Linked DNA regions of Oreochromis niloticus. The protein of the gene in region 3 interacts with the protein of the main gene of each other region in a biochemical or structural test. Links are inferred from orthologs where the notes say so. Each region holds a gene or a part of one and is shown on either strand. Other genes may lie near its edges.

What was found.
Region 1: the proteins of uba6 (region 3) and ube2g2 form a complex in vitro, tested with the Homo sapiens proteins (2 studies listed by BioGRID, with this or other methods). The link is inferred for Oreochromis niloticus from reciprocal best matches to the Homo sapiens genes UBA6 and UBE2G2.
Region 2: the proteins of uba6 (region 3) and ube2t form a complex in vitro, tested with the Homo sapiens proteins (2 studies listed by BioGRID, with this or other methods). The link is inferred for Oreochromis niloticus from reciprocal best matches to the Homo sapiens genes UBA6 and UBE2T.

The regions. Positions count from the first base shown.
Region 1 is NC_031987.2:899,280-906,680, forward strand, and holds the start of ube2g2 (ubiquitin-conjugating enzyme E2 G2), read left to right. Parts: upstream 1-4,396; 5' UTR 4,397-4,527; coding exon 4,528-4,570; intron 4,571-4,795; exon of another isoform or gene 4,796-4,814; intron 4,815-5,781; coding exon 5,782-5,817; intron 5,818-5,946; coding exon 5,947-5,992; intron 5,993-7,401. Other genes in the region: olfactory receptor 10J5-like, read left to right, coding at 2,149-3,111. UniProt on the Homo sapiens protein: Accepts ubiquitin from the E1 complex and catalyzes its covalent attachment to other proteins. In vitro catalyzes 'Lys-48'-linked polyubiquitination. Involved in endoplasmic reticulum-associated degradation (ERAD).
Region 2 is NC_031984.2:18,400,939-18,408,837, reverse strand, and holds the start of ube2t (ubiquitin-conjugating enzyme E2 T), read right to left. Parts: upstream 3,087-7,899; 5' UTR 2,927-3,086; intron 2,639-2,926; 5' UTR 2,638-2,638; coding exon 2,529-2,637; intron 1,834-2,528; coding exon 1,764-1,833; intron 1,661-1,763; coding exon 1,555-1,660; intron 1,424-1,554; coding exon 1,325-1,423; intron 898-1,324; coding exon 814-897; intron 1-813. Other genes in the region: uncharacterized protein zgc:194242, read right to left, coding at 6,540-6,736, 6,844-7,024. UniProt on the Homo sapiens protein: Accepts ubiquitin from the E1 complex and catalyzes its covalent attachment to other proteins. Catalyzes monoubiquitination. Involved in mitomycin-C (MMC)-induced DNA repair.
Region 3 is NC_031971.2:22,550,793-22,558,012, forward strand, and holds the start of uba6 (ubiquitin-like modifier-activating enzyme 6), read right to left. Parts: upstream 3,022-7,220; 5' UTR 3,007-3,021; coding exon 2,977-3,006; intron 2,298-2,976; exon of another isoform or gene 2,242-2,297; intron 1,775-2,241; coding exon 1,683-1,774; intron 1,535-1,682; coding exon 1,440-1,534; intron 1,353-1,439; coding exon 1,324-1,352; intron 1,206-1,323; coding exon 1,111-1,205; intron 362-1,110; coding exon 250-361; intron 1-249. Other genes in the region: grhprb (glyoxylate reductase/hydroxypyruvate reductase), read left to right, coding at 4,204-4,376, 4,832-4,965, 5,047-5,119, 5,281-5,397, 5,511-5,599, 5,700-5,804, 6,088-6,223, 6,603-6,733 and 1 more. UniProt on the Homo sapiens protein: Activates ubiquitin by first adenylating its C-terminal glycine residue with ATP, and thereafter linking this residue to the side chain of a cysteine residue in E1, yielding a ubiquitin-E1 thioester and free AMP.

The DNA.
Region 1 (7,401 bases), on a different chromosome or scaffold from region 3:
CCAATTTGTACATGTAAATGGAGAGTCCTCTTCACACACTAAGGTCAATTATGGAGTTCCACAGGGTTCAGTGCTAGGACCAATTCTGTTTACATTATACATGCTTCCCTTAGGCAGCATCATTAGAAGACATAGCATAAATTTTCACTACTATGCAGATGACACCCAGCTCTATCTATCCATGAAGCCAGGTAACACACACCAATTAGTTAAACTGCAGGAATGTCTTAAAGACATAAAGACCTGGATGGCCGCTAACTTTCTGCTTCTTAATTCAGATCAAACTGAGGTTATTGTACTCGGCCCTGAAAATCTTAGAAATATGGTATCTAAGCAGATTCTTACTCTGGATGGCATTACCTTGGCCTCCAGTAATGCTGTGAGGAACCTTGGAGTCATTTTTGACCAGGACATGTCCTTCAGTGTGCACGCACTCCAAGATTGGAGACTGGGGAGGACAGAGGCTTTCAGTTTGAGAAAACAAGACTATGGAACAGTCTGCTGCTACGCCTACATTTAGCTAACTCTATTAAAAAGCAGTGTTTGTTGTTGTTTTTTTTGTTTTATTCTAACCAGGCCTTGTTTTGAGACTTTTGCTGACAGCAGTTGTTTTTGCATTATTCTGTGCCCAAACTTGTTTTGTTGTACAGTGTTTGTCACTACTTGCCTGTGAAAAGCTCTTTAAAATTTAAGTTGACTCACTTACTTTACAGAGTCCAAAGACAAATGGGTGATGTTTTGGCTACAACCATTAATTATATATTTATATATATTATTTAAGGTTTTCTGTTTTACCTCTAAACAGATTTAAACCTAGAACCTAAAGACTATGCTTACAGAGATGACGGTTTTTCTGTTTGACAATTTACTGTAAAATGTTTATTTTTTTAGGTTAAGATGTTTTTTCCACTGAAAATTCACAGTCATCCCTAACATGATTCCAGATTCAACCCTTGGAGAGAAACATGCTTACAGCCTCAGTGAAGGAAAAATATCAAACATTCGATGCTGAGGAGGATGATAGAGACGATGAAGATAAGGCAGAGTTAATGAGCTCCACTGAGGCGAGAGGATCATAAATACAGCTCAAACCTGTCACAGCCCACATGATCCAGGTGTGGGAGCATGTGTGTCTCTTTCTATGTCTGAAGTTTGATGATGTACTTTTTTGTGTTTAACTTTTTATCATTCAAATGTTATTGATTTAATATTGTTTTAACTATAATGACTTTAATGTTGTTTTGAAAATCAAGGATAAAGAGTTAGTGTGATATAGCTGATAATTATATTCGTTCATTCTTGTTCATTAGTGTTTTGAACATTGATGTTTTACACTGAAAAAAGTTCTTTATAAAATCCATCATATCAGTGTGACTATTTAAACAATAATGATGTAAACATTTATTCTTTAAATTTCATAATTTATAATTTTGACGCTTAACTCCAAAATTATTATTTAAATGATTATGTAAACACAGATTATATAATCATATGTGAAGTTAAATGTAGATATTTTGTTGTTAATCATCTAAATGTTGTTTTTAAAGCAAAGATTTAAAAGATAAAACTTAAAATATTGAGTTAAATAGTTCTTTACTCGATCGTCTGCGAGAAGATATATGTTTTGAACACTGATAATCTAAATGCTGATGATTTTATTTTTTGACACTGATGATGATAAATGATAAAATTGTAAAGATATTATGTTAAAAATGATTCAGTTGATTGTTTAAACTGTTTTAATATGTAACATTTTTATATGTTCATAAGTGTTGAAGATGTGAAGAATGATTTTAAACACATATAATATCGATTTAAATGTTAGTTTAAGTCTTTAAATGCTGACATTTATTTTATTGAAATAATAAAAGAGTAAATGTTATTAATTTAAACAATTATACAGTTTGAACATTTAAAGTGTTGATGATTCAAAGGTTGATTTAAAACATTATTCAAGTGGTTATAACCTAAACGTTGATGCCTTAAATGATCATTTAATGATGTCATGATAAATTGCAAATTGATGATCTGATATTGAAACAATATTTTTTCTGCTTCTGTTTTCGATTTGATGGTTTAAACTTGTGTGCAGCTGTTCCAGAGCTTTCTGTCAGCTGACACCCTCAGATTGTTGTGTCTCCCCCGATGATGTCAGCAGGGGTAAACGTGACCTCACTGCCCATCCTGGTGACATCAGTGACCCTGGACGGCCTGGCGCAGCTGTCCAATCAGCGGCTCTTCTTCTTCTTCTTCTTCCTGTGCGCCTACCTGTTCATGCTGTGCAGCGACAGCCTGGTGGTCTACGTGATCTGCTCCCAGCGGAGCCTCCACCGCCCCATGTTTGTGTTTGTGGCGGCTGTGCTGATGAACTCTGTGGCGGGCAGCACGGTGTTTTACCCCAAACTCCTGGTGGACCTGCTGAGGGGGGGCCGCTCAGTGCAGGTGACCCTGCGTGGGTGCATGTGTGAGGCCTGGCTTTTATATTCATCGGGCACCTCCAGCTTCCTACTGCTAGCAGCCATGTCCTTTGACCGGTACGTGTCCATCTGCCGCCCGCTGCTCTACACCGTTGTCATGTCTCCAGCCACAGTGCTGGCACTGCTGCTGCTCTGCTGGCTGCTGCCTGTCGGGCTGGTCGGCACTGCGGTGCTGCTGGCGAGCCGCCTGCCGCTCTGCCGCTCGCAGCTCAGCAGGATCTACTGCGACATCTACAGCCTGGTCAGTCTGAGCTGTGGTGGTCGTGAGACACTGCTGAGCGAAGTCTACAACCTCTCGGTCATCGTGGCTACTGTCTTGCTGCCCGCCATCTTTGTGCTCTTCTCTTACAGCGCCGTCTTGTCAATCTGCCTGCGGCGCTCGCGCAGCTTCAGCAGCAAAGCACTGAGCACGTGCCTGCCGCACCTGCTCGTCTTCTGTAACTACAGCGTGAGCTCTGGGGTGGAGGTGCTGCAGCGCCGCCTACAGGCTGGCAGTCAGCCCACAGCCTCTGTCCTCACCTCCATCCTCCAGGTCATGATCCCGACTGTGTTCAACCCGGTGGTGTATGGCCTAAAGGTGACGGAGATCAGGGCTCAGCTGAGGAGGCTGCTGGGCTGCCAGAGAGCTGAATAACCCACAGAACCAGATCCTGAGTTCTGGTCTCTGACTCCACTCCCATAATCAGAAAAAAGGTCATAAATATTTGTTTTGTAATCAACATTCATTTTCATTTTATGCTCTTTAGTTCATCCACATCTTGTTGGGGGAGGCAGCAGAGGGCCTTGAACTAGACTTCCTGATAAAGAGGAACATACTGCAGCACGTTCTGATGTGGCAGCTGTATGCAGCTGCAGCATTTGCACACAGCAACAACAACAACAGATAAAAGTCCCCTCAGCAAATAATATGGGCAAAATCCAGCAGTTCAATATTCAGGCCACAGAAACTTCTCACTATATAAAGTAACAAAGTTGAGTTCTGACTGCTGTTTGAATATTTTAAAAACAGTCTGGATTCTTCTTGTTTGGTTGTATTAATCAGTCTTATCAATTCTTATTGATCAATTATTCAGTGGAAACTGCACTCTTAGGTCAAAGGTCACACAGACCAATGAGTCATTACAAGTAAAAAGAGAAAAACAGGAAATCATCACTTTTCACATGTGGTACTATTTCCTGTCAGTCATTCGCTGTCAGACACTTCTTCACTGACTATGTGTTAATAGACCTCTCTGCACTAAATCACACTTGTTATTAATCTCTGGCTCTCTTCCACAGCATGTCTTTATCCTGTCTTCCTTTTCTCACCCCAACCAGTGGGTCCAGATGGCCCCGCCCCTCCCTGAGCCTGGTTCTGCCGGAGGTTTCTTCCTGTTAAAAGGGAGTTTTTCCTTCCCACTGTTGCCAAATTGCTTGCTCATAGGGGGTCATATGATTGTTGGGTTTTTCTCTGTATGTATTACTGTAGGGTCCATCTTACAATATAAAGCACCCTGAGGTGACTGTTGATGTGATTTGGCATTGTATAAATAAAGTTGACTTGAATTGAATTTATTTATTTATTTTATTATTTATGTATTTGAGTATTCAACAACAACAACAAAACACATCTGCTGTGGCACAGAAAAGCTAACTGTACAGAAAAGCAATCAGTTAGACCGTAACTTATTATTACATGCATACATCTTGATGCTCAGTCATCCAGGTAAGGAAATCAATTACATACATAAATTAAATTAAATAAAGACAAAATTGAATAAAAAGACTATATAACATTTATTAAAGGCACAAAAACATTTACTTGAGTAAAATTAAGTTTACAATTAAACAAATGAGCTTAATTATTAAACAATTAATTATTTTTTTATTTGTTTTTAAATTAATTGTTTTTATTTTTGTCGACAGGGTGCGCTGTCTGCTGACACGCAAACTGAAACACGTTTTGCGCATGCTCAGTCGGATCAGCTGTTGGTCCGTTGCTTTGTGAGAACGTGAGAAACTGAGCCGCTTTTGTTTATTTGTTTGTTTGTTGTTTTCTCCGGTAAACACGATGGCTGGCACAGCGCTAAAGAGACTAATGGCCGAGTACAAACGTGAGTAACGCGAGCCGCTTTCAGCCAATGGGAGGTCTTTTAATGTTAGCTAGCATGCTAAGCTAACAACCCGCGAGCGCCTGTATCTCTGTACGAAACTCCGTTAAAAGTTCGGTCGGTTTGAGCTTTTCTTTGTTGTCCGCGTTTGTTCTTCTCTCCTGCGACTCAAACCGATAACCTGATGAATGTCTGCACAGTGTGAATAATCCGGTGTCGGCTTTGTCCACCTGCAGTTTAAACCGCGGTATAATTTGGAGCTTATATAACGTGTGTGTGGCGTTATCCAGAATGTTCCATGTAGCTGCCGTGATGTAACTTTCAAAACTTTTCTAAAGTGTGATAAATGAACACAAAGTGCGAACATCATGTTTATATGCTGATTACAGGAACACAGAGCGCAGGTGGAAAACTCGCTGCGAGGCTTCAGCGCTGCACTGACACGGCGGCTGATTTGCCTTTTCTGAAAGTGATAAATTTGAAGGTTTTTAAATGTAATTTGGTGCATTGAGGGCTAACGATAAGAACTTTAACTGGGGGATTAGCCTCGGTACACATTCATATTTAGGCCTGTCATTTATTTAATGCGCTCATTTCAGGCTGCTACACTTTAATCTTGTGTAATAATGTGAATTCTGCACAGATTAGTCGATGCATTCAAGATTCAAGAACTTCATTGTCATGTACACCGCAAAACACAAATGGTTACGCAGAGCAATGAAATTTTTACTTTGTACGTTCCCTTCACACGACTAAAAGAAAGTAAAACAGACAAACAGTGCTTTGTAAATCTTGTAGCTTATGTGGGTGTAAACAGAATTTAAAGTGCAAGTAGTTGCAACACTGTCACAGTGATAATATATACAGAGTATATATTATGGTGTATATGTAGAGCTATGTATAACAATTGCAACTTTACAGGTTAGGGGTAATTACAGTTGTATTATGTTGTGTATAAGTGTGCAAACTTGATGATTTACAGTTATGGATAAACAGTTCGACATAGATCATTGTGGTAAACCTGATTGGTATTTAAGATAATTGGGAAGTCTTTTATAACTGCTTTCTTGCCTTAGGCTGTTTTTAAATGAATAAATGTTAATCGTTTCTTCAATATGGGAAAGCAAACAATCCATCAGCTGTTTAAAAATGTGACTGATACCGGATCACAGCAGAGGTCAAAGGTCACTCATCTTTCTGTGTTTGTGCTTCAGAGCTGACTTTGAACCCACCTGAGGGCATCGTGGCAGGTGAGACACCAGAACACATCTGTAGCTTCTGCAGATGTGCCCTCAGATGTTCAGTGTGTTGTTCTAACAGTCAGACACCCGAGCAGCTCTGAGAGCAGGAGATTTAAAGAGTTTGTGTTTGCTGTGCAGGTCCAGTGAACGAGGAGAACTTCTTCGAGTGGGAGGCTCTTATCATGTGAGTACCCCGTCTCCATGGAAACACACGTTTGAGTCATTTTTGGGTGTTTGTATTTGTTTTGGAGTGTTATTGTGTATGTGTCAGTTGTAACTGGACTCTCACAGCCGCTTTATTGGGTACAGTTTACTAGTACTGGGTTAGAGTAATGGTACATGGTAAATGGCCTGTATTTGTATAGCGCTTTACTTAGTCCCTAAGGACCCCAAAGCGCTTTACACATTTAGTCATCCACACATTCACACACTGGTGGAGGCAAGCTACATTGTAGCCACAGCCGCCCTGGGGCGCACTGACAGAGGCGAGGCTGCGGTCATTTCCCACACTGCTGGCATCGTCATCACACAGCTGCTTCTGTTTATACTCGCTGCTACAGCCCAGGAAGCCGCTGCAGTGTTCTCCTGAACAATTGGTGTTGCCACTCGGACGATTCCTCCACATCATCGCTGATATAAGACCTGCAGCAGTGGCAGCTAGTGACAGTGGAAATGACGTTAGCTCTGTTGTAAGGTGCTGTTTGCAAGGCAGCGCGTAGCAGGTATAAAATGTCCTTTAGCTGGTGGGAGTGGCACCAGTGTGGTCTTCTGCTGCTGTAGATCATCTGTTCTAAGGCTCAGGGGTGCTCTTCTGCATACCTCGGTTGTTATGAGTGGTTATTTGAGTTCCTGTTGCTTTTACTATCAGCTTGAAGCAGTCTGTCCTCACACCTCAACCAGGCATTTCCCCCGAGAGGACTGCTGCTCACTGGATGTTTTCTGTCCTTCAGACCTTCTCTGTAAACTCTGATGTTTCATATCAGCAGTTTGTGAAACACCCAGACCAACACTCACGTTCACAGTCACCTGAAGCACTTCTGTGAGCACCAGCATTTGTCTAATTTGGCTGTTGCACAAACGAGTTGCTTTCACTTCTATGCTGGGTGCTTAAAGGTCAGGCTCAGTCATGAAAGCAGCGACGGATCTCCGTAGATCCACTAATCACACTAATTGCATTTAAAAAGTGAACGATGCTGCACCCTCATGGCTTTAACCTCCCGTCTGCTGGGATCAGTTGTCTGATCCTTTTATTAGCAGCTGTTAGTGTTTGTAACAGGCTCACCTCTCTGTATTTGTTTCGTTAACCTGTTTCACACTTTATGCCAAACTCAGAAAGTAAAAACCTGCAGTTTGAGTCATGAATTCACCCTCATACCTGTAAACCATGGCAACTAGACTCACAGGTTCAGTGTGACGATGACCGAGTGAGACCAGAAGGTGTCGCTGTTCTCAAAGTGTTGGAGATGAAACACAGCTATCAGTACACTCCCCAGTAACACAAAGTTAAGACAAGTCAGTGGATTTATGGCTGAAAGAAAACAGAGCAGGAAACAAGACAACACAAAAGTGTTCAAATTTAAACGCTGGGGAGTA
Region 2 (7,899 bases), on a different chromosome or scaffold from region 3:
AAAAAAGGGGACGAAATTGATCCCCTTCCATTTTGCAGCTGAATGAAGGCAAGCTGGTAATTACATGCAAAATGTTTGTCATAATTAAGTAGTAAGATTAGTAGCAAAATTCCAAATCTCTTGCCACCTGTTGCCATAAATTCAGAAGTTCCTCCACAAAGAGACATGATTGCTGCAGGACAGCAATCTAACCGCAAAATGCCATAGGTGCTTGGCAACTTTGCTTTTATATAGTAAAAATTGCCAGTTCAGTTGCTCTGACTGACTAACTAATTTAAATCAGCTGTCACATGCTAGCAATCTCTCTGTGTTTATAGATTAGAGAGCAAATATTTGCAAAACCTTGCCAATCTTTCTGGGAGTGATTACAGTCAATCTGAATTGTTTGGACAAGTTGCTTCCCTCTAGGCGATCTGTGCAGTCACCTTACAATTGAGGAGGTATGTCCAGAGGTTGAGCATGCAACACCCTCAACCTTCAATCACAGAATGCAAAAAAAATTCAGTGCAATCACACAAGGAGGTTATTTTCACTTTAATGCGACTGCAGAAAAACAAGTTATATTTACTTGGCATATAATATTCTATTGCAGGAGCACAGCACAACCTTGTGGGTCAAATAAAACAGTACACACAACTAACACATTAACAGTGTTGTGGAGCAAGTGACAGGAATCATGTGACTAAGAATAGAGCAGCAGTCGGAGCGTAATTATATTAAATGATTAATTATTCTATTCTATTCTATTCTATTCTATTCTTAAAAAGAAAATCTAAACCGCACATAAATCACAGAAAGTCCTTAGTAACTTACAGAATTCTTCTGGATGGCATGTTCTTGTGTCCACTTCCTGGCCTTCTCCATAAACAGGTGTTTGTTGTATTTGAATTCCGATGACTAAATTACGGGAAAAATAGATAAATAAAAGTGCATATAAAGTTGGGTTATACAATCATTCACTGTACTACAACTGAACACAGCTGCTCTCTAACCCAACAGGTTTTAGGTTAAAGGGGTTTTTGACTTGCATCTAAACAAGTCATTTTGGCATTTACCACACTCATGGACTTGCCTTTAATTACTTAGGATACCTTTTATTTCCAGGGATGAATTTGAATCAATTAAAAACTGAACTACGTATTTTAGTCAAGACAATGTCTTTAAAACTGTTTTTGTTTTTGAATTTTTAAATAAAGAGCTACTGTTACATGATGATATAGGTAACTCACAGTTTTTTAAAAAATAAAATAAAACCACCACAGACAGATTGTGTATGACAGATAGTTTGATATATAGGATGGACAACAGACTATGTGTGACTCACTATATCAGCCATCAGTGGGTCGTCTGGATTTGGCTCTGCCATGAGTAGCTGTATGGAAGTGAGGACTGTGGAGATGTTTAGAGATGGCTTCCAGGCACCCTGAAAAAAAATCAAATAAATATAAAGACAACACTACATCTAAAATGTATAAAATGCAACATATATCCTTGTGTCCACCATGTAATGGTGTTGAAATAAAGAGTTTTTATGTACTGGAAATCTCTTATAACCTTTGGTGGCAGTTTAAGAGCATCATGGCAGATCCGTCCTGAATTGTCAATGTTTGGATGGTAGATTGGAGTCAAGAATCGTATTTTGGGAGGCTCAAATGGGTACCTAAGAGAGAAAAAAAAAAGCATGTCAGTCCTGCTAGAGTGGAGTGAGAACATGTAACTGGTAGATAGAAACCCATCAATGTTAAAGCTCAAAGAAGAAGTACCTCTCTGGAATCTTGACCTCCAAGGAGAACACTCCACCATCATAAGGAGTTCCTGATCCACCCAATATCTCTGGAACATAAAAGGGGTTAAACATATGGTCATGTACTTGAAATATTTTATTGACAGGATCCACTGAAAAATGGATGCTATGTCAGAGTGATTTTAATCAGGTGAAATATTCTGAGTATATAGTATAGGAAAATGTATCTTGACAATTTGTTAGGTACACCTGTTCAACTGTCTGATAATCAGCTAATCACGAGGCATCAACTCAGTGCATTATGGCATATAGACATGCTCATAGCAACCTGCTGAAGTTCAAACTGAGCATCAGAATCGGAAGGAAAGCCGATTTAAGTGACTTTGGTAGTCAGAGTCTTTCAGGATCTGCTGATCTACTGAGATTTTGCACATAACCATCTCTAGAATTCACAGAGAAATGTCCAAAATGAAAAATATCCAGTGACCAGGAGGAGATCTCTGGGTCAAAATGCCCCACTGATTTCAGAGGTCAGAGGAAAATGGCTACGCTGGTTTGAGCTGATAGGAAGGAAACAATCCAAAAGAGCCTTGATGAACGCATAACGCATCAAATTTAGAAGCAGACGGGCCACAGGAGCAGAGACCTAACTGGGTACCGCCGCTGTTAAAGATTACGATAGTTCTGAAGGCAACAAAGAGGTCCAACTTGGTACTAACAATGCACATAAGAAAGTGTCTGGTAAGTATATCTTTAGTCGTTTCAGTGACACAGTAGTACATACGTGCCCGGAGGTCGTCTATCTGATCTTCGGTCTGCCAGCATGTTATCCCAGGGGGTGGCTCGGTGCTTAGCATTTGAAGTTCACGCTTCAAACGAGAAGCCCTCTGCATTCTGAAAAACAGGCAGCTGGCTAATTAGCGTTACACTTAAATGCCTCGGATTCGTGGGTCAGTCTCCACACACGCTTGTAAATATTTAATCTTAAACGTAGAACATTTATTGTCAAACCGCTCAATGAGACAGTGGTTTGTTTTTGATGTTAGCTGCCTTCTTGTGACAGTCTTGTGATGCTGAGCTAACGCCTTTGCTTACTAATGTGAAGGCCGAAAAATAAACACCTTCTTCGTCAAAAAGTCTAATAACAATTTGTCAGGTGAACAGCAACTCTCGTTTCCTTACTTTTTATCAGCTGTCCACTTGATAATCGCTGTCTATCTTAATCGAAATTTCAGCTTCACAGCTCTCGGTGAAGAAGTGTCGTCGGCTCTGTTTTGGATTTCCCTCTCCTTACGTAAGCACCGCCCGCGCGCCGTTCTTCTTCTTCTGTTGAATTTATTCAGATGAATTACCGCCACCGTCTGGTCCCGAGTATGAGCTACCAGGAGGCTACTTCTGCGTACAAATAACACAGCACCATTTTTATTTTTAATTTAACAGTGTTACATTGATCATCCTGCAATCCAGTGGCCTCTCTGCTTGCCCCTCGAAACACTGGGCAACTAACCATTCATGTGTATGTGTGAAATATGATTCTTAGAGGATACTAAAATCACTTTTCATTTACAGCCTTACAAAAAGGAACAAGAAGAATCTCCGGGTGACTCTCTGGTCTCTAGTCAGTATTTATTTTTAAGGTAATAATTGTGTATTTTCAATAAATTAATTTAGTTTTCTTTGTTCTTTTTAAATGTACTTTAAGAGGTTTCAAAAAATGCATGACAAATATAATTTGATTATACAAATATTGTCTAGGAGTAGGTAATGGATAATAGGTACTGATTTGTAAACAAATGGATTTGAAAGACTTGAGCATATGATCTAATATTGCACTACAATTTACACTACTATATATCTAACTAACAAAGCAGTTCATCATTTTTTTCTTGACAACACTTTCTTTAAAGATATAGCCATTTTTGGTCAACTTGAATGAAAAGAAGACACACGTGAAATGTAAAAGTGAGATCAGAGATCAAATGTGAAATTATATTTGGAAGCAAACTATAATGTGATACTTACCCCATATAACAGTATCATTTCCTAAATGTTGTCAGTACAAAAAAAAATGTAGTAGAATTTATTTTATTGAAGTTTGACCTTATTTAACCTCGAAGAAGAGGACAGAGGTCCAAAGTAACGTGATATTTATAATCTCCATATATAATTAAATGCCTGTATGTCTATATGACAGTAAGAAACATAGATGTAGTTTGATATAACATTATCACTTGGACCTTCAGATCAATCTATTGACCCTGAAGGAAAGGTCACAGGTCAGTTATGATATTTTAAAATCTTTAAAGTTATAATGCTTTTTGTGGATTTTAAGCCAATAAATCATTAAGTTGACGGATGTAAAGTAAATGTTAATGGATTGTTAACACGACCCCACTTGGAGGTGACACCATGATTTTTGTTTTGTTTTGACAGCAGAAGCACTATAAGACTTTGGTATCATCTTGTGTGTTGTATTCTTTCTAATCCTTTTATTCCTCCATCCATCCATCTTCATCCGCTTTATCCGAGGCCGGGTCGCGGGGGCAGCAGCCTAAGCAGAGAAGCCCAGACCTCCCTCTCCTCAGCCACCTCCTCCAGCTTATCCGGGGGAACACCAAAGCGTTCCCAGGCCAGCCGAGAGATATAATCTCTCCAGCGTGTCCTGGGTCTGCCCCGGGGCCTCCTCCCGGTGGGACATGCCCGGAACACCTCACCCAGGAGGCGCCCAGGAGGCATCCTTGTCAGATGCCCGAATCACCTCAACTGGCTCCTTTCGATGTGGAGGAGCAGCGGCTCTACTCTGAGCCCCTCCCGGATGGCCAAACTTCTCACCCTATCTCTAAGGGAGAGGCCAGCCACCCTTTGGAGGAAGCTCATTTCTGCCGCTTGTATCCGCGATCTCATTCTTTCGGTCACTACCCACAGCTCGTGGCCATAGGTGAGGGTAGGGACGTAGATCGACCGGTAAATTGAGAGCTTCGCTTTTACACTCAGCTCCCTCTTCACCACGACGGACCGGTGCAGCGTCCGCATCACTGCAGCCACAGCACCAATCAGTCTGTCGATCTCCGGCTCCCTTCTCCCATCACTCGCGAACAAGACCCCGAGATACTTGAACTCCTCCACTTGGGGCAGGAACTCATCCCCGACCTGGAGTGGGCACTCCACCCTTTTCCGGCTGAGAACCATGGCCTCAGATTTGGAGGTGCTGATCCTCATTCCCGCTGCTTCACACTCGGCTGCGAACCGTTCCAGTGCGAGCTGGAGGCCTTCACCTGATGAAGCCAACAGAACCACATCATCCGCAAAAAGCAGAGATGAGATTCTGAGGCCACCGAAGCGAAATCCCTCCGCCACTTGGCTGCGCCTAGAAATCCTGTCCATAAAAATTATGAACAGAACCGGTGACAAAGGGCAGCCCTGGCGGAGCCCATCACCCACCGGGAACGAGTCCGACTTATTGCCGCCAATGCGAACCAAACTCTTGCAACGGTTGTATAGAGATCGAATGGCCCGTAGCAATGGGCCAGACACCCCATACTCCGGCAACACCTCCCACAGGACACCCGGAGGGACACGGTCGAATGCCTTCTCCAAGTCCACAAAACACATGTAGACTGGTTGGGCAAACTCCCATGCACCCTCAAGTATCCTTGAGAGGATAAAGAGCTGGTCCAGTGTTCCGCGACCAGGACGAAAACCGCATTGTTCCTCCTGTATCCGAGGTTCGACTAGCGGATGAACTCTCCTTTCCAGCACCCTGGCATAGACTTTCCCAGGGAGGCTGAGGAGTGTGATCCCCCTGCAGTTGGAACACACCCTCTGGTCTCCCTTCTTAAAGATGGGGACCACCACCCCGGTCTGCCAATCCAGGGGTACTGCCCCTGATCTCCACGCAACATTGTAGAGGTGTGTCAACCAGGACAGCCCTACAACGTCCAGAGCCTTCAGGAACTCGGGGCGGACCTCATCAACACCAGGGGCTCTGCCACCAAGGAGTTGTTTAACTGCCTCAGTGACCTCGCCCCTGGAAATTGGCGGGTCATTCCCCTCATCCCCAGACTCTGCTTCCTCCTCAGAAGACGTGTCAGTGGGATTAAGGAGGTCCTCGAAGTATTCCTTCCACCGCCTGACAATTTTCTCAGTCGACGTCAGCAGCGCTCCGCCAGCACTATACACAGTGCAGGTAGAGCACCGCTTTCCCCTCCTGAGACGCCTGACGGTTTGCCAGAATCTCTTCGAGGCAGTCCGAAAGTCTTTTTCCACGGCCTCTCCGAACTCCTCCCACACCCGAGTTTTTGCTTCAGCCACTGCCCGGGCCGCATTCCGCTTGGCCTGTCGATACCTGTCGGCTGCCTCCGGAGTCCCACAGGCTAACCAAGCCCGATAGGACTCCTTCTTTAGCCTGGTGGCTCCCTTCACCTCTGGTGTCCACCATTTGGTTCGGGGATTACCACCACGGCAGGCACCAACCTTTTATTCCTGTTTTCCATTTATTGTATGATTACATATTCATGCAATTGGGTTCCTCCATAAAGTTCTTCATTATTTTTTATTTCCCATTTTCACAGTAATGCTGTTTTGAAGTTTTAAAATCACAATACTGTATAATGGTACTGATGTAAGAACATTGCATGTAGGGAATGACAGAAAATTATATAAAAACTTCTGATCTGTAAATGTTTATCATTATGATAATTTCAAGTTTATCCATCTTCAAAAGGAAGACCATTAATGACCGACATAATCACACTAAACTTCACAATCACATAAGTAGTGTAGATAAGACACAATCTTATTTGAAGGCAGTGGCAAAGATAGCCTGAAAAGTAATGTTTCTGTCCTGCTTGTCCTCCATTCTAACATCAGTGAAGCCGGAGTCTCTCAGAGCTGCCATGTAGGCCTCTGGGCGCCAGTTTTCCCCTGGCATCACCCCCTTCGCTGCGAATGTAGCCACACGAGAAAGCTTCAGAGTTGTGACCATCAGGGCTCCTGGTTGGATTAAAAAGATGGGGACGTTTAATTTGAGAATCATTATTTAAAGACAACTTTTGGAAATAAATCTGTAAATAAAGTTTGGCTGACTGTCATGGCATTACCTGGCTTCATCACCCGGTGTATTTCGACAGCTCCTTTTCTAAGATCAGGCCAGAAGTAGTAGCAGTTACAGTGAAAGACTTTATCCACAGTGCTGTCTCCGAGAGGCATCGCTGCTACGTCACAGTGGTGGAGGGTCACTTTTTCATTTGCTATAAGTTCCATCATTTGTTTCTTTGCCATCTGTCAGAGACAGAAAAATTACAATATTGCCCTTGATTAGCAGCTATGCTTCTCTTAGGTTTTGGCTGCCTGCTCAGCAGTGCTTGATTTTTATTTATTTTTTAAATAAATATTCACTCGTTACAACCAAGGTATGCAGAAAAACGAACAACACATCAAACGTTAAAGAAGGTGGGCTAGATCACACCAGGTGCAATCGGTTAAGAACAGGACATTGTTCACTAGTAGACACTAATTTGCACGGGCTTGATAGAAGATTAGAAAAACTTTGCACAGACTGATGGTTCATGATTTCTGCTGTGACATTTAGATGGTAGGGCCAGAATCTTGTGTGGAACAACTGCTTAAGAAGTACAGAGTGAAATGCGTCAGCACAATAGTGACCCCCTTGAACTGATTTTAGTCTCATTTTTGTCATATTATATTCCACTGAGTTATTGGTTCTGTTATTAGTTATCTAGCTTAAACTAATGTAAGTCTAATGTAAGCAGCAACAAACCAACCAAGTGACATTAGATTCTCTACTGACACAAGATGGCACTAAACATGTTTTACAAACTTAAAGCACTTATTTCTTAAACCGAGCTGCACAGACAGTGTTACATCTATGCCAGTTTTGGAGAGCAGAGCTCGGTGATCTAAAATAGCCTTTATACGTCAAGTGTTTTATGGCCACTTTAAATGGCCTCCAAAGCCACTGAATCTCAATTTAAGAGGATACCTCTGAGTTATGGTGGAATGGGAAAGTCACTTCAAGGGTGTAGACCTGCCAAATCTGCAGCAACAATGTGATTTATTTTTCCATGACAATATGGACACAAATCAGAGAATTTTTTTCAGCACCATCTATGTCACAGATAATTCAGGGAGCTCTG
Region 3 (7,220 bases):
GTAGCTTCATGAGTTTTTATTGAGATTCAGAAATGTTTCTCTATGATGAAATCTTTCTATTGGAAACTCTTGTTAAGCCACATTGGTCTTCAGGGAAGGGGCGGGTGTCTTCATACTTCCCTACACCTCATATTTTTAATCACTAGGGGGTTTCTGAGGGCGTGGGAGCAACCTATAAAAAAAAAAAAATGTCTGTCCTATTACCAATGAGTTAGCTTACAACCCGGAGTCTGAAAGGTAATGACTTACCTGGTACCTTCTGAGAAAACCGAGATCAGTGTTGTCGTCAAGAGCAGAGGAAGACATGTCAACGTGGACATAAGGGTTCAACTCTGCAACGCGAGGGCACACTGCCTCCACCCTGTGGGAAAAACACAAGGGAGTGGGTAAACACGAGAGAGTATCTGAGTAAGGATGCACCAGTCTTAATGTTTATACCACATATCACTCTGATACCTACTCAGAGCTGTATTAGGTATGCACTGGTCAATCACAATTATATTCAGTTAAACTGAACTAAAGTGTCATTCTTTATTTAGCACATTATGAAACTAACAAGAAAGGATCGTCACTTTGGTGGCTTTTCACTGTTGCTATGTCAGCAAAATGTTTATAGCAGCAGTTTGTGACCTAATTATAATTCAACAGAAACCAAACAGTGGTCAGTTGAGCTGATCACAACAACAGACAATGGTGCTGTCCCTGTCAGTGTCACTATTTCTGTATTGTTGTGTAAACTTTACAACTGCACTTTGAGCAACTGAACAACTTGATTAGTGCAGTCCTTAATGATCTTGTGCAAGCAAGGAGGGTATGGTTAAACAGACATACACAGTAACAAAGGGGAGCAGCAATAGCTTAACTGTAACAATTCAATTTAATCACAGACCAAGATGAAAGGAAACAAGTTTAAATTAATTAGGTTTTGGTCCTGTTATTTTGTCATTTTAATAATAACTTTCACATAAAAAGAGAATGGTTTGTAATGTACTTATTTAGCACTATTATCAGCCCACTCCTTTAAGGTATCTTCATGAGGAATGAATAAGCTACACTGGTGCATGCCTATTTAAGAGCGTAAGGAGAGTCCCGCCCCGTGGGGTTCATTACCTCCTCCTCTGACTCAAAACATCCTCTTTGCGGATGAAGAAGTTGGAGCCAAGATCCCAGGTCTCACACTGTTTTGTGTCATGAAGCGTGACTGCCTGTACACACAGAGGACAAACATACTGTATAGGTTCGAACAATTATGACTACAAGACCTTTGGACTTGCAAGATGCTGGGAATGACACATTGCTGTAATATTAAGAGAGCGCACCTACCTTTACACCAGCCAGGACAATATTTTTTGCTGTGAAACCAAACCCAAAAGGTTTAGAGTCATGTTAGAGTTGCTTGCGTGGCTCATACAAACACCAAACCATTAAATATTGCCTACCTATCTCTACTCCCAGTCCTCCCATTCCACTGAGAAAGACTGAGGACTGGGCCATCTGGTGCATGGCACTGTCTCCAAGCACATATCGCTGGCGGCTAAAGAGAGAGAGAGAGAGAGAGAGAGATGAAGAGTCACTGTGAAGGAATGTGCTAGAAGGACGAATGGAAACACCACGAACAATAACTGCGCTTGCTGTAATATAAACCATTAAAAAGGCAAATTATAAGTGATGGTGAGGCTTGCCTGTAAAGAGAGTCGTCAATCTCCATCAAGTCTGTAGCCATGATGGGAGGGGAAGGGGGGGAGAGCAAGTGCCTCACAGATAGAGATGCTTCCTGTTAAAAATATAAATAGAGTAATTAACCTTGTCTGATTGAGCGATATAGATTTAAAACCAACGCCCTGCTGTTAATGAGCCGCACAGCTAACTAACTGTTGATACCAGTTAGCTGTCAGCAACGTGGTTGATCCCACCGAGCTGAGCTGACCTGAGCTGAATTAACCAAGCGGCTTTAAAAAAAGCCCGACATTAAAGTGGTTAATACATGTGCCTTAGTAAAGCTAGATGACTTATGAAGTTGCTGAAGCTCAACGCTAGCGGCTACAGCTAGCTAATGCTGCTGCCCGGTGCCGGTTGCGGAGACACTTCTCATAAACTCATTAAAAGTAGTGACACAAACACGAGGCTACAAATAACTCCAGGGAGTAGACAAATGTTTTAGGAATAGTTGTTTCTATCAAGCAATATGTAAACACTGCTATAAATGTGGTTAAAATTAGTCAGAATATCACACGCAGGTACCTGTCAGTAAGCCCAGCGAGCTGCAGCGAATGAATGGCTGTGACTGGTTAAAAAACTTGGAGTGTTTCCGGGTTATAGCACTCACGTGGCCAACGTCAACCAATCACTTCACGGTAACTTCTAGGACTATATTTGTGAATAAACGTTACTTATTTTTGTGTTGTTGATAAAATAACACACATTTATGATGATTTAGTAGATTTCGGGTGACATTTTTGTAAAGAATAACATTTCACCATTTTGTTTTCAAAGGTGTAATCTTGAGTCACCACCCATTTCTTTATATTTTGCCTCAAGGAACCAGACTTTCTTGTATTTCTTTAAAGTGGTATTGAGCAATATACATATATATATATATATAGATAGATAGATCAGTGTTAGGTTTTTTAAAAAGCAAGTAAAAAGAAATATATATATATCTTTTTGCTTTCTTTCTTTTTGCTATATATATATATATATATATAGTCTTAAGGAGGGGAAGCAGGGAAAAAAGCTCATCAGTACGTGCAGAGGAGGTCGGAAGAGAGGTACAACAGTTGGTGTCTAAGTGAGTGTTTACAAATTATAAGTGATGGTCTGTAAAACACATTGCAGGCTCTGTCATGGTTTCGATCTGCATTTCAGCCAGTGGTGTTGGGGATTTTGTCAAAACAAACTGAATTATCAACACAGATTTTGAACAACTACCATCAGAAAAGCTCGTGATTGGCAATGGCTAATGCAGTAAAAGCATACCTGGCTAGAAAAACACACACTATCAGTCATGGATTGGCCTCCTCAGAGTCCGGACCACAACATTACCGAAGCAGTGTGGGATCATGTTGACAGAGAAGGGAAGAAAAGGAAGTCAACATTCAAAGAAGAGCTTTAAGTGTCCTACAAGAACCCTGGAGAACTATTCCTGAAGACTACATAATTAAAGAAAGAAAGGTTAAGAGTGTCCAGGCTGTGTTAAAGAATATATAACACACTGTTCTACCAATAATACTAAATACTGACTTCCGAGCTCATTAGAATCATACAAACTCTATTTTTTCCCCTTGTATACTGTATTTCTATGTGTGTTTGCACATTTCAATAAGTTGCTGAGTCTATTTCCTGTTTTCCTACAAAAATATAAAGTGATAAAGCGTGTCTTAAGACTTTTGTATATTGTATATGTGAATATGGTGACAACAATGCATTCTACTCATAAAAGAAAAGAAGTAACACAAAAGTAATACCTGTAACACAATAATGATTTTAAGGTCCATCTAACTGAAAGCAGGACAGAAACAGCAGAAACATGTCAGAAAAGATTGCCTTATCTTAAATCAACCTTGTCGATGATGAGTCTGCTTTATCGCTTTGGATTTGAGGTGTGACAGTACCTCCTCCAGCCATTTTATGGGTTAGGGGTATTTTATTTTTCAGTTTGAGAAAAAATAAGCAATCAACCAAGCAACAACTCTTCTATGTTCATGACAACGCAAGCAGGCTCAGGTTGGAAAAACAAAGATATCAAAACTAGTCGCAGCCAGTGAAAACAGAAGATAAAAAACAATGTTCAGCCCCCCCCCATTTAAAGAAACAAAGTTCACCAGCTAAGTGAAACATTTACACCACAACTTGCTCCAGTTCTGGATGGAAAACACAATTCTGGTACTGTCTTTGTCACAGCGGTTAGTTATGCTTGTGTCTCTTTGTTTTGAATATAAAGAGCCTCTAGTTCCATAATCAGAGACAAAATTGGACCGATTTTTGCTTCTCTGGGGGGGAACTAGGGATAAGTATCTCTAACCTTCAGACCTTCAGACTTTTCCCCTTTCAAACCTTCAGACTCCCACCCTTTTATCATATTGGTTAGTTCACAAAGGAGCCTCCCCCTTGAACTGCAGCCAGAATCACACACAAATCCCACAACAGTCTCCAGAGTTTACTCATCCTACACTGTGGACACTCTGCCCACGCACTTACGCTGCAATGTGGTGCAGTCGCATGGCACTCCGTCGGCTCCAGAAGATCGCCGTTACTCCTTTGAACATTACCGGGAGTCTAACAAGCAACATCCAGAGGGAGATGTCAACCCTGCCGCGCATCTATGTCACACGACAGATCCCACCTGAGGGCCTGAAGATCCTCCGCGAATCCGGACAGTGAGTTATTTTTAGTATCCTGGTATGTCACTTAAAATAACAAATTTTAGCGTTTTAATGTAACTTTGCGATGTGTGCCGCAGGAGATTTGACACTGATCACTTTAAGCAGTTTGAATATCTGGTCTGAGAGGTTCATCATTTACTTTGAACAAACATGACTGCTAATGTTTGCCTTAAGGTCTCGTCAAATAAAGCACATAGTCTAAAGGGTATTCCCTGAGAAAGAGAGCTGCACAAATGTTTCACTGCACCCTAAAATCCCAGGATTTCAATGAAAGGCACTTTGACATTATGTATCTCTAAGAAGAGCCATTATCTGTATAAAAATGTGAAACCTGTGCTCATGTATTTGGGATTTTTTTTCATCTTTGACCAGTAAATTTCCTTCAGGTGACGATAGAGGAAAACTGGATTTGATTTAAATCTTCAGTCATGTGATTTCTGTTTCCCTAGGGTGCAGTTTGAGCTGTGGAACTCAGATGACATACCGGTGCCCAGGAAGGAGCTCCTTCAGAAGGTCAAAGGTGTAGATGGTCTGCTTTGCACGCTGACGGAAAAAATTGATGCGGAACTGTTGGACGCTGCAGGTCTGCCCTTTGCCTTTGACAAATAACCTAAATGCAACAAACAGCCTTGCATGTCTTTATATGTGTGACGTATTCCTGCAGGTCCAAACCTGAAGGTCCTCAGTACAATGTCAGTGGGATTCGATCATCTGTCTTTGGATGAGCTGAAGAAACGGTGAGTTCCCTCTTTCTGTTTTATTTTATTGTAACACATGTGAATGCCATTCATGGCTCTACTGAGAGTGATTTTCCCTTTAAGAAAAAAGGTTCTTAACATGCAAACAGGCAGTGAAATATTCATGTAACGTTGTATGCAATGTTTATGTTTTCCTACAGAGGAATCCGTATAGGTTATACCCCTGAAGTCCTGACAGATGCTGTTGCTGAGCTGACAGTAGCTCTGCTGCTTGCGACCTCCAGGAGGCTCATAGAGGCCACACATGAGGCCAAGACGTACTGTCATATACAAAATAAGATCACACATACGTGGAAGATTTACTAAAACATACATGCACAAATGCAAATTGTGCAAAATAAATTCTCTCTCTTTCTCTCACTGACGCCAGTGGTGGCTGGGGCACGTGGAGAACGCTGTGGCTGTGTGGTTATGAGCTGGCCAACAGCACTGTCGGTATTCTTGGACTAGGCAGAATCGGTAAGCAGCACATCACTAAGACAACCTTTACATCAGCGTATCGTCAAACTGCCATTTCTGTCAGTTATGAGCTTTTTACAGTGTGTGCTTGTACTCAAAGGTGTGGCCATTGCTGAGCGTCTGGCACCTTTCAAAGTAAAGAAGTTTATCTACACAGATGTGGCCCCCAGGCCTGAGTTGGCGAGTGTCATCAATGCAGAATATGGTAAGGAAGACCCAGCAAGGATGTTACTCTATGATATGTGGACAAAAGATCCCCTGTCAACAGGGCAGATGGGGCTAGTCAAAAGATAAGGCTATTTAAAACCTTTTGACTTTTCATAAGTCTTTCTTGAAGTCCTAAGAACCACCCACAAACTTAATATGATAATAAAAGTGATATTAGTGCATCTAGTGTAGTTTTCATCTGATTCCTACCAGCTAAAAAGGTTTGTTTTATTTTAGTTTTCAGTTTATTTTTAATAACCTTGCACTGTATCTTGTTCTAGTCTCTTTTGATGAGCTGGCAAAGCAATCAGATTTCCTGGCTGTGTGCTGTGCTCTAACACCAGAGACAAAGGAGATCTGCAATAAGAACCTCTTCTCCAAGATGAAAAAGACTTCCATCTTCATCAACACGAGCAGGTACCCCTACCTGATACATGCATGACCCAAGACCCCAAGAGTGGTCTGTGAGTGTTGTGCTCATTAATTACTGATTAACCTGATAACAGGTTATTTTCCTTCACTGATCACCATTTAATACACAAAATGCAAGCCAATGGTTTTAAGAAATGACCATTGTGTTTCCTCAAATCCAAATATTTATATTTGAGATATTAGGATTGCTCGCAGTTTCACAAAATGATCTCCACAGTTGATTAGTTGACTAATAGAAAGTTAGAATGACTAATCATTTAAGTTCTCGGTGACCTGCATCTGGAGAAATGGATATGTACTGTAGGCAATCAGCAGCGAGGATTCTGCCCTTTGAGTCTATAACTGTGCTTTTGCTGTTGTGCAGAGGCGGGGTGGTGAACCAGGAAGACCTGTATGAAGCTCTGTCCACAGGGCAGATCGCAGGAGCTGGATTAGATGTCACTGTTCCCGAGCCGCTGCCAACCAACCACCCACTGTTTACACTCAAAAACTGTGGTGAGCATTCTGCTACTTTGAACAGGTTTTTAAACCACACTTGGTCCTCTCTGCCTATCATTTGGTTTTAATATTTTCTCTTCCTGCAGTGATTCTACCCCATATTGCGAGTGCCTCCTATACTACCCGTGATGCCATGTCTTCCTTGGCGGCAAACAACCTCCTCCTGGGCCTGCGAGGGCAGCCGATGATCAAAGAGCTCAAGCTTTAAGAAGAAACAGCTTCCACTCTGAAAAAATGATCAAATAGTGGATGATTAGTTCTACTTACTGTTCAAAATATGTTTTGCTGACTGAAGTAAATCCATGCAGTGTTGCAACTGTCTCCTTTTTCTTTAGTCTTCAGTTTCACATTTTTTAGTTTGGCATTCTAGAGTGCTGTGAAAAAGTTTTTGCCCACTTCCTGATTTCTGATTTTGAAATTATATGAAAAAAAAAAGTGATTCAAACCTATTTGGCCCTGGGTGAAAAAATGATTGCCCCGATAA